Drosophila melanogaster: one gene and its partner. The protein of the gene in region 1 purifies or fractionates together with the protein of each later gene. This does not show direct contact. Each region holds a gene or a part of one and is shown in the gene's direction. Other genes may lie near its edges. The genes, in order: Ets98B and CG33981.

The links.
Region 2: the proteins of Ets98B (region 1) and CG33981 purify together in Drosophila melanogaster (affinity purification with mass spectrometry, with the first as the bait; one large-scale study listed by BioGRID). This does not show direct contact.

The regions. Positions count from the first base shown.
Region 1 is NT_033777.3:27,734,654-27,739,551, forward strand, and holds the start of Ets98B (Ets at 98B), read left to right. Parts: upstream 1-1,884; 5' UTR 1,885-2,438; coding exon 2,439-2,480; intron 2,481-4,898. UniProt on the Drosophila melanogaster protein: May have a role in germline development.
Region 2 is NT_033778.4:17,779,196-17,784,195, reverse strand, and holds the start of CG33981 (uncharacterized protein), read left to right. Parts: upstream 1-2,265; 5' UTR 2,266-2,414; coding exon 2,415-2,426; intron 2,427-2,708; coding exon 2,709-2,855; intron 2,856-2,916; coding exon 2,917-3,000; coding exon of another isoform or gene 3,001-3,595; intron 3,596-3,726; coding exon of another isoform or gene 3,727-5,000. Other genes in the region: fab1 kinase, read left to right, coding at 3,089-3,595, 3,727-5,000.

The DNA.
Region 1 (4,898 bases):
GACTTTTCACTGAGTTCCCCAGTTGAGGGGATAACTATCCCTAGCCGGTCAATCTAAGCAGGTGGCCCGCGGAGCTGTCCCAGCTTGCAGTTGGCGTCATTTCCCCATCGAACGCTCCTACACCCGCAGGGGCTGATTCAGCTGTTTGTCGCGGCCTTTGCGTGTCCTGCCACTTCAGCACGTTTCCCGGCCAATCCATCCAGCTGAGGCTGCCTGACGTGGATAATGCTGCCCCACCAGGAGCTGCCTCACCGTGGCTCTCGGCGGTTGCAGCTCACCATTAAGCACGCCGTTCCTTTGAGCCGGCTGTCCATCACGGAGCACCGCTGCCAGTGATGGGTGACCTGCCGCTCCGTACACAGGAATTAAAATCAGATACAAGAGCAGGGGGTGCTTTTAAAATAGTTCAAACTCTTTTCAGTCCATATTTTCTTTCATAGCTGATGTTAAAAGATAATAGCTAGCTAGGAACGCTTTGTTAAATATATATTTCTGCTGCATTAAGATTGCATTTCTTGAATGGTGTACTTTGTTTACAGGAGATTTTAAGTTCCATTTCCATTTATGGTCAAAGTGAATATATAAAAACATTTTCCGTGTAAGGAGCGGGAGTTTTCCAGAAGCCAAAGGCTGGTCGTTGTCCCCAGCTAAACGCGGAGGGGCCGGCATTTGGCATAATGATGGCCACCGGCGGGACTCGGGATGCCGTACTGAGCCGCCTCCTCCGCCGAGCAGCTGCGTCTGGTTTGCTGAGTGCCAATTGCTGTTGACATGCCTTTCATTTTAGGCGACAGCGCTTCCTGCTCAGCCAATTTAGCCCCGATGACCCACAATGGCGCATTTGTCAAGGTGGAATCATTTGGAGGGAGCCTGCAGGGGGGCGACATTAAATCCAGCACTCCTCGCTAATTTCTAACGTCCTTATTTTAATCCTTTCAGGCTGTGATTTGGACAAGAATAACATTTGTGGATCGAGTACAATCGCATGCTTAGCTTGTTAATCAAAACTCGAATGCCCTTTTATTTATTGCCGTAGTCTGAAAAAAACGCTATTATTATAAATCAAAAGATTCGTCATTTCATTATTTATTTCAATTTCTAATGTGTCGATAGCATACATTTTATGGGACTAAAACGAAATTTGCATTTAAATTAATTTGGCTTGGTAAAAAAATTTATTATGGTTAAAGGGTCCAAATGACAGGTTGAAATGAAAGTGATGCCAATTGTAAACAATTGCAAGCGATTTATTACATGTTTTGCTTTATGATTATTGATTATAAATAATTAATTGTGTAAGTAACTGATATGCATAGGTATATGAAAGTTGACTTTTGCAAAGGTACATGAACTGCAGGACTCTTTGAAAAAGGATTGAAGTTGGACTTCAGGCGACGTGGTCGTTCTTATGGGATGTCAAAAACTGTGAAATTGTCAATGGGCAATGAAATATAAATGCCAAATTAAATTGTATTTCGTCAGGACATTTCAGGAAATTTTCGTTGGCGACATCTTCGCGTCTTTTGCAACGGAAGCGGAAATTATAATGCCATCGACGTGCATCCAAACATTTTGACGTTTGTCTGAATGGCCCCAAAAACTCTTTTTAGGGGCGTGGCTGCGGGCCATTCAATCACGGTTGCAGTTGCAGTTGCCCCAGTTGCCTGCGTCACTTTATGCGAGCCAATAAATTTCAACTGGCTATCTAAGTATCTGGGTATGGGTATCTCGGTATCTGTACATTGATGGACCTTTGTTTGTCATCGATGTTGCGCTGATGGCTGAATGGCAAAGCTCTTGGCAAGAAAGAGGAGCTTAGCAACCAGTTTGGCGGCTCAAAAGCTCTGGGCATGAGGTAAGCAGAGCGATCGCAGCACGTACCGCTCACAGAATCGAGCGTGAAGACTTGGCGAACGGTCGACAAGCGGACCGAGCAATACATTCCAGTGCCAAACAGAGACAGCCAGAGAGACAGTGAAAGAGAAAGAGAGAGAGAGAGAGCAACAAGTTTGCCAGTGGAAATTTTAGTAACGAAATGCAGTGAATAGCCAGTGAATGCAACAAACTGGCTCAAAAGTCGAAAAAAAAAAAACAAAACAAACTCTCGAAAACAATTTAATAACCCCACTATGAACACCAAGGCCGAGGCAGTGAAACAAAACGCTGAGTGAATCTAGTTAAACATTTAAAATCAAAACCAAAACAGCAACAAGTGAAAGAGCCAGAAGGAGACGGCCACAGCGGTAGGCCGCGAGTGAGAACGAGACAGCGCACTGAATAGCAGCACCCGAGACTTTCGCATCTGACGATTCGAATTTTGCATGCCGAGAGATACAGCTACGCTAGAGCTGAAGCTGGAGCTACAGATACAGATACAGTAGCTAGAGCCTGTGAAAATATCTGCGAAATACCATAATTGTTTGTAGCGCAACTCAGAAATGGAGTACGAGAAAATGTTGTACATGCCAGCAGCCAGTGAGGTAAGACGCGATAATGTATCTCTGTATCCCTAGCTGCTTGAAAACATAGCTATAGCTATAGAACTACATACATAGCTGATAGCCGATAACCTTTCGCCCGCCATTATCATCGGGGGGCCACTTGTGTCGGAATATAGAGTATCTGTAGCTGTATCTGTCGCTTGGCAAATTATGCGCAGTTCGGTGGCAGTAAAGTTGCTTCTACGGCTTTTAATTAGCAGCGCATGGCATCTCGTGTAGGCGGCAAAAGTATCTTACGGTCTGCATCTTGCACTTGGCATCCCGCGAATGCGAATGCTGATGCGAATGCGTGTCACTGGGTGAGAGTAGCCCCAGTACCCAGTATACAGTACCCACTAAGTCAGCCAGTTACATTTTCGCATTTGTCTTTAATTACAATAACAGCAATAGCAATAGCAACAGCAATAGCAACAGCAACAGCAAAAGCGACAGCATCCAAAAGCAACTTTCAAAAGATGCTTTCATTTTGCAAGAAGTGATTCTAAATGATTGTCAACTATGGCACGACAACAAACAGTAGCACAAACGCCGAGTAAGAGCTGCCATGTCGGCCTGAACTGGCATTTCACTCGGAAAGTGCATTCCGATCCAGCAGATACTTTTTGTTGGACCTACTTAAGCTCCATTGGCTATGTACGCAAGTCTTTGACGTTTGTCGCTGCTGATGATGCTGCTGCCAGCATTGCAATAAAAGAAAATACGGAAAATGCCGTGGAAAAAAAAAACTTGTATTTACCATTTTTGATTGATTTGATGGAAATGTGTCTCCGCGCTTTTCCAATCGCTGACGCTGACACAGAAGCAAGTGGCTTGGAACAGCGCTTAGAAATGCACTGCAAGATTGCAAGATTGCCAGTCTGCCAGCAGCGGCAGCCACACTCATCTCTCATTATATTTATAGACATAATAAAATAAATACTACTGGCAACAATTATAAATGCAAGCCGCTTTCGCAGCTCAGCCACACTAAGCCGCGTCGAGACAAGACGAGTTGAGGAAAACTCGACATGACATAAATACTTCAACTTGTCAGGTTTTCTTTCCCTCAGCGCCAGGCCTTTCCATCGAGAATCCATCCATCGACAGTGGCATTTCTAAGTTCGCTCAGTCAAGGGCCATTTCCAAGCTATCCAATCCTATTCCATCCTGTCCAGAACGACTGGTTATCAATCAAACCGATTATACAATAATAATCACTTTTTGGGTGTGGCTCCCAACTTGGCCATTGTTGTGGCATATGCACTCAACGAAATTAGCTTTCCACGTTCCGAATGAAAATTCTATCAGCATTTCAGCTCTCTCATTTCACTCGTTTGTAACCGCGTCCTTTGAGACCCCGACAAATGGTAATTGTTCTTCTGCATTTTTGCATATTTTTTTTTTTGCAGTGTATTACTAAAATATTGCAGCCTGTGGTTGCGAGTCTTGTCTTGCGGCTTCAGCATTGAATCTCGCCTGGCTTTTATGCAAATTGAAATGAGTTGGCTTCGCAACGTCTTTTATACGGAATAATTGTCAGTGCGTGCAGCGCATAATGAGTGCAGAAGGGATTGGATTCGCAGGGTTTAGTGCCTAGACATAAGCGCATTCCTGCCCAGAATGTGGGTGTGGGATGGGCCAAGAGTCCAGTCTCCCAGCCTGCACTGGATGGCTCGTAAGTGCCACTTGTGCGGTGGGTGTGGGTGAGCCAGTGGGCGAGCGAGTGGGAGTGTGTCTGGATTGTCCATCAGAAGAGTGTCCAAGTAGTAATCGGGCGGGTTAATGTGCGGCATACTGAGAGGTAGAGATCTTCAGACCTGCCATCGAAGTGGGAGCTTTAATTAATTTGGTTAGCTGGTTAGTTGCTGGCTTTCCCAGGCCAGGGGACAAGACGACAAGCCGGAACATTCTGGGTCGTTACAGTTGTCAGACACTTGGCATATTAAGCAGGCTGCAAAGAATGCAGCATAATTGAAATGTTGCACCCATTTGAGATATTTATTAACCTTGCTGGCAGCCATTTATCTAGCATGAAATGTCGACAATTAAATGCAATGCAAATAGCGAAGAATGGCAAGCTGCAAGCAGAAAAGTTTTGCCCCGTCACGAAGTGGCTAAAACCAACACCAAACTGCAAACACTCACACAGACACGGTGACAAAAAGCTAGAGATACAGGGACAAAGATACAGAATAATGAGTGAAACAAACAGAAGGCAGCCAGTCGGGCGATGTAAAAATAAGCAGAAATAAGTCTTGTCTCTTTGACAGCTTAACCCACGCATCCGAGAACTGGTAGATGGTATATATGGTATATGGTAGATTGTACGTGGATGGATACCGCCGGGGGATTTGCCAGAGTATCTCTGTCTCTGTATCCATGTGTGTATGAGTGTGCCTATGCTGTGGACAGCGCACT
Region 2 (5,000 bases), on another chromosome or scaffold:
TTTTGTGTGAATAGAAAATAGAAAATAGAAAAAAAAAAATTAAGTTAGCTGCATTTTTAAGTTACCTGCATCGAGGCATTGTGCAAAGTACTCGAGGCAGCTAAGCGAATTATTCTGTATACACATATGTACGATGTAGGCACACAAAACTTGTTAAGTGCTTTTCAAAACAACAAGCCTTTCATTGATAAAAGCCATTGGATAACAAGCGAGTAATAGACGAGCATTTGTGACCAGTGAGAATGTTTCGGTGAATTGTGAACCAAAACGGTTGGGGTTTCGTCCATGTCGGATCGATCGTATATCAACTCCGTTGGTAAATTGGCAAGATGTCGGCATAGCTGACGTTGAAAAGCGATTTTGAAGAGCGCTATGCTGCATCTAGTCAGTTGTTCAATGGAACAGTCAGCGAGATCGAACAGAACAGTAGTGGAGTTTTAAGCTCCATCGTAATCTCTTTTTTTTGCAGATATATAATCATAAAATATCTGAAGGGATATTAAAACATTTATCGATTGGAATATTCGCAAAATGTGGAACAGTTTTTGCATTTTAAAAAACCGTTTTTCGAATGTTATAAGCAAAAGCAGTAAATTTACGAAGTATTTTTATTTAATAAATATCTTTTAATACAGTATAATTCGCTTAGCTGCCTCGAGTACTTTGCACAATGCCTCGATGCAGGTAACTTAAAAATGCAGCTAACTTAATTTTTTTTTTTTAAGGAAAAATAAAGAATTTATTTCTTTATAACAATGTTAAACATAAAAGGAACTGATAATTTCATTCTTAATGATAAGTAAGATCGACATATAAATTTAAGTGATGGTGAATTGATTAAAACACTTTTTAAAACTAACTTAAAAATAGTCAGTAATTTTTTTTTGCAATACAGCTGAGTTTATATGTAAATTAAACAGCTTGTCTTCCATAGAATTCAAGTTTTGCAAAAACTCATCATTATTGTTTCGCATAAAAATGGACTTTAAAGCCTTAATTGCTGCAAACCCATCCTTAAAAGTAGGACGCTCAGTATCGTCCACATCTTCATCACTATGGCTTTCTTCGTTATCGCTGGTTTTTGCATCTTGAACTAAAGAGCGCACGATTTCATCATCATCTAATTGACCATGGCAAGCCTCATCTGCATCAACATTGGCATATTCATTCCAATTAATATTCGATACAATGTCAACTTCTACGCATTGTTTGTCTTTTTCAGCAATGGTGTCTCCTTTTCTTTGACGCTTTCTTTTTAAACCTGACGCGGCCACAGCTTCATGAATTTCATTTGTTTTTTGTAAAATGCGGTTGACTGTGGATCTGTCGCATTTGAATTTGGCACAAATTTCCTTTTTGTCCACTTTGTTGGTCACTAACTCGATTATTTGAAGCTTTTCCTTTAGTGTTAGTCCAACGACACGCTTTGTTTTACCCATTTTAATAACTTTGTGTCATAAGAAACAAAAACACAAAAATCACGATCAAAGCAAAAACAAAAACGGACATGCGCAGATACTGAAACGAGTTGGCATTCTTGCCATCTTTTAGATATGCAAAAATGATTCATAGATGGCGCAGCTAACTTTGATGATATTCATTGAAATTGGCAAAAAAAAACAGCTGATATGATGCACTTAAGTTAAAAAGGCTGTTATCTGCGATGCAGCAAACGTATGAATTTTCGTACAAATTTTCTATTCACACAAAAAAATGGAAAAATAATGCAGATATCTTGCCGATGCAGCTAACTATCGATGCAGCTAAGCGAATTATACTGTAGTAATCATTTTAGTTTTTTGCAGATGTGATTCTAAATTTGAAATAGTTATCTCCATATAATATTTATGAGATATAAAAAGAATAAATATTATGTGCTGCGAAGTAGAGGCGTACGCAATCTTGTTTTTCAGACATGATCTGGAATAAAGGAGGGAAAACTCTTCTAAAAATTTTGGAATATAACAATTTGGAAAAATGGAACCATTTTTATATGTCTTCCCGATTCCACGGACAATTGAATTTAAATAAACATAGGCACTCATTATTGCTGCTTATATAAGTAGCATACCACAGAAAATACAATTATCTCACCATTAAGCTAATTGCCAAAAATAAAGTATCTGTTAGTACATATTTGTTGTTTTCATATTTTGTTGTCGTTTAAGCAATTTATTTGCATAAAACAGCAAACAAATTCAAAAAGTGCGAACATCGAGTACACATCGATTGGCACTTTCGATTACTACTATCGCCGCCATTAATCGCATACCTCCCATCTCCACACAGCTGTTTTGTTAAACAAAACAGAATTATTCGCCAATTGTTTACAAAAACACTCAAAAAGAGTCTAAGCAAACAATTGGCAAGCAAGTGAAGACTGGCTAGTCTCAGATTAAATTATTCCATAAGTGATGGACAGCCAGGTAAGTGGGCAAATCGAGCGGGACGTACCCTTGCGGCTAGTTGATGTCCGGTGGTTAGATAGTAACTACTACTACGTCGCCTGTGAGTGTGGCAAAATTATCGCTTCACAGCAATTAGTCGTACTTATCAATGCGCCCATTGTGCTAAATCTAAATATGCGAGCAATACCGTGTCTCCAATATTTAAGCACTGTCGCAGAGTGACGTAATTACGCTGCGGGGGCGTTGTCTTTTCTCTCTTTTTCAACGAGATAATAACCTGTGTTTTATTGCCTGTCGCAGGCACCGATCGATGATCTACTGCTGGACATTGTAGACAATGCTTGGCGCATGGAAGTTCTACCCTTCGACCAGATTCTAGTGCCACGCGAAAAGCTACCCGATCCAGAGGCGGACGGCGGTGATTCACACCTGACGGTCAGCGAGCAGGTGAGTACATTTGGGATTTTATTGCCATATCTGTATACTTCTATGGTCTGAACTCGAACAGGAGCAAAAGTGGACTGATCTGGCGTTGGGCTCGCTGGCACCGGACGCAGCCCTCATCGATCAACTGAACATCACCTCTATCTAACCAAGGACCGTGAGTCCACGGGCGAGTGCCACCGCCTCGCCAACCAACCTATTAGCACCACAAGCCCAACTCCTAACACCCCGACAACATGACTAGCAACAACCAAAACAATAGCTCAAGCCACCAGCACCTACACTCCCCCTCCAAACTAACCGAATTTGCCCGCAATTTCGAAGACAAGCCGGAATCGCTCTTTGGCCGAGTGGTAAACAAGATCCAGAATGTATACAACCAGAGCTACAATACCGTCAACGATATATCAAGTGGGAGCAGCAGCAGTTCCTCCACGCAGCCAGTGCAAGTGGTGGGCAAATCACAGTTCTTCAGTGACTCCCAGACTTCCACCGCTGAGATTGCCGATGTGGAAACCTCTAGCCAGAGCTCAGTTCGCCCCCAGCCACCCACCACGCTCAGCATAAGGACCAATAGTGAGACACGTGGCACAAGCACCTCCAGCAATACCGCTGCAGAGGACTCCGAAACCAGCGACCGCGTCGAAACGCTGCCGCTGCCAACCAGCGAAGCGAATCAGGGGCGCACCGTTTCTAACGTCCTCAAACACATAAGCAATATTGTGGCCACAAAAAACAATAACGTGAGTGAAAGTCATAATACCATTATCGTTTTAAAAATTTGAATGATTCACTGGAACTTTACCACAATAAAATATTTCTGTTGACTCATTTTTTTTAGCTTTATAAGACAAATTCCTACATTTCATTTCAGGATCTGCGAAACTACAAGGACACGGAGCTGCAGCGCTTTTGGATGCCCGATTCCAAGGCTAAGGAATGCTATGATTGCTCTCAAAAGTTCTCCACCTTCCGGAGGAAACACCACTGTCGATTGTGTGGCCAAATATTCTGCTCAAAGTGCTGCAACCAAGTGGTGCCTGGCATGATAATTCGCTGCGATGGCGATCTCAAAGTGTGCAACTACTGCTCCAAGATAGTGCTCACATTCCTGAAGTCCTCAAGCTCTGAGATGGGACAGGATATGCAGGAGCTGCAGCAGCACTTAAGTAACAAACTGGAAGTACAAGATAGTGGCAGCTCGCTTGCAAAACATCCCCAGATGCAAAGGGCACCCCTTCCGCGTAAGACATCAGTGGGCTATCAAGAGGAGCGATTCAGTTCGCATCCAACTTACACAACCCTTTCCATCGACGATCGCAAGAATATCCTGCAGCAGTCAAATTCATTAATTACCCTGCACGAGGAAATGCAGCGTGATCTGCCTGCTCAAAATTGTGGTCAGCGTCTGATTGAGTTTCTCAATAGTAATAATAAATCAGCAAACGAGGTGCAGGCGGTGGCCATACTGAATGCTATGCTAGCCGCTGGTTTCCTCGAGCCAATCGTACCCGATCCCGAGCAAATGGACTTCGATTCGTCGCTACACTATAAGTTCTCCAAAAGCAGCAGTTCGGATACCTCCCGAACGATGAGTCCGCAATTTGAGGCGAATCCCCATGCGGAACCACAACCTCCAAAGTCAATGGATCAATCAGCTGAAGAAAAGGAGAAGGAGCTAGAAAATGAACTGGAAAACGATCGATGCTATACCACAGCAACTTCTAAGCTTCTTGCCTCCTATTGCGAACACGAAGAGCAGCTACTGGCACAGATGTTGCGCGCACATAATTTGGACCAGGAATGGGACAAGGTGCTTCAGATGCTTTGTTCCACGGCAGCGAATCACTTCAAGCCAGAGCATTGTAGTAACGATCTCATGGACATACGTAACTATGTAAACTTTAAAAAGGTGCCGGGTGGCAGACGCAAGGACTCGAAGATTGTTCATGGAGTGGCATTCTCTAAAAATGTCGCCCATAAAGATATGGCAACTCATGTGCCCTTTCCTCGCATACTGCTGCTGCAGTGTCCCATTGTGTACGAGCGTATTGAGGGAAAGTTTGTGACCATTGAGACCGTGCTGCTCCAGGAAAAGGAATACCTTCGAAACGTTTGCGCCCGCATTATGAGCTTCAAGCCCAACGT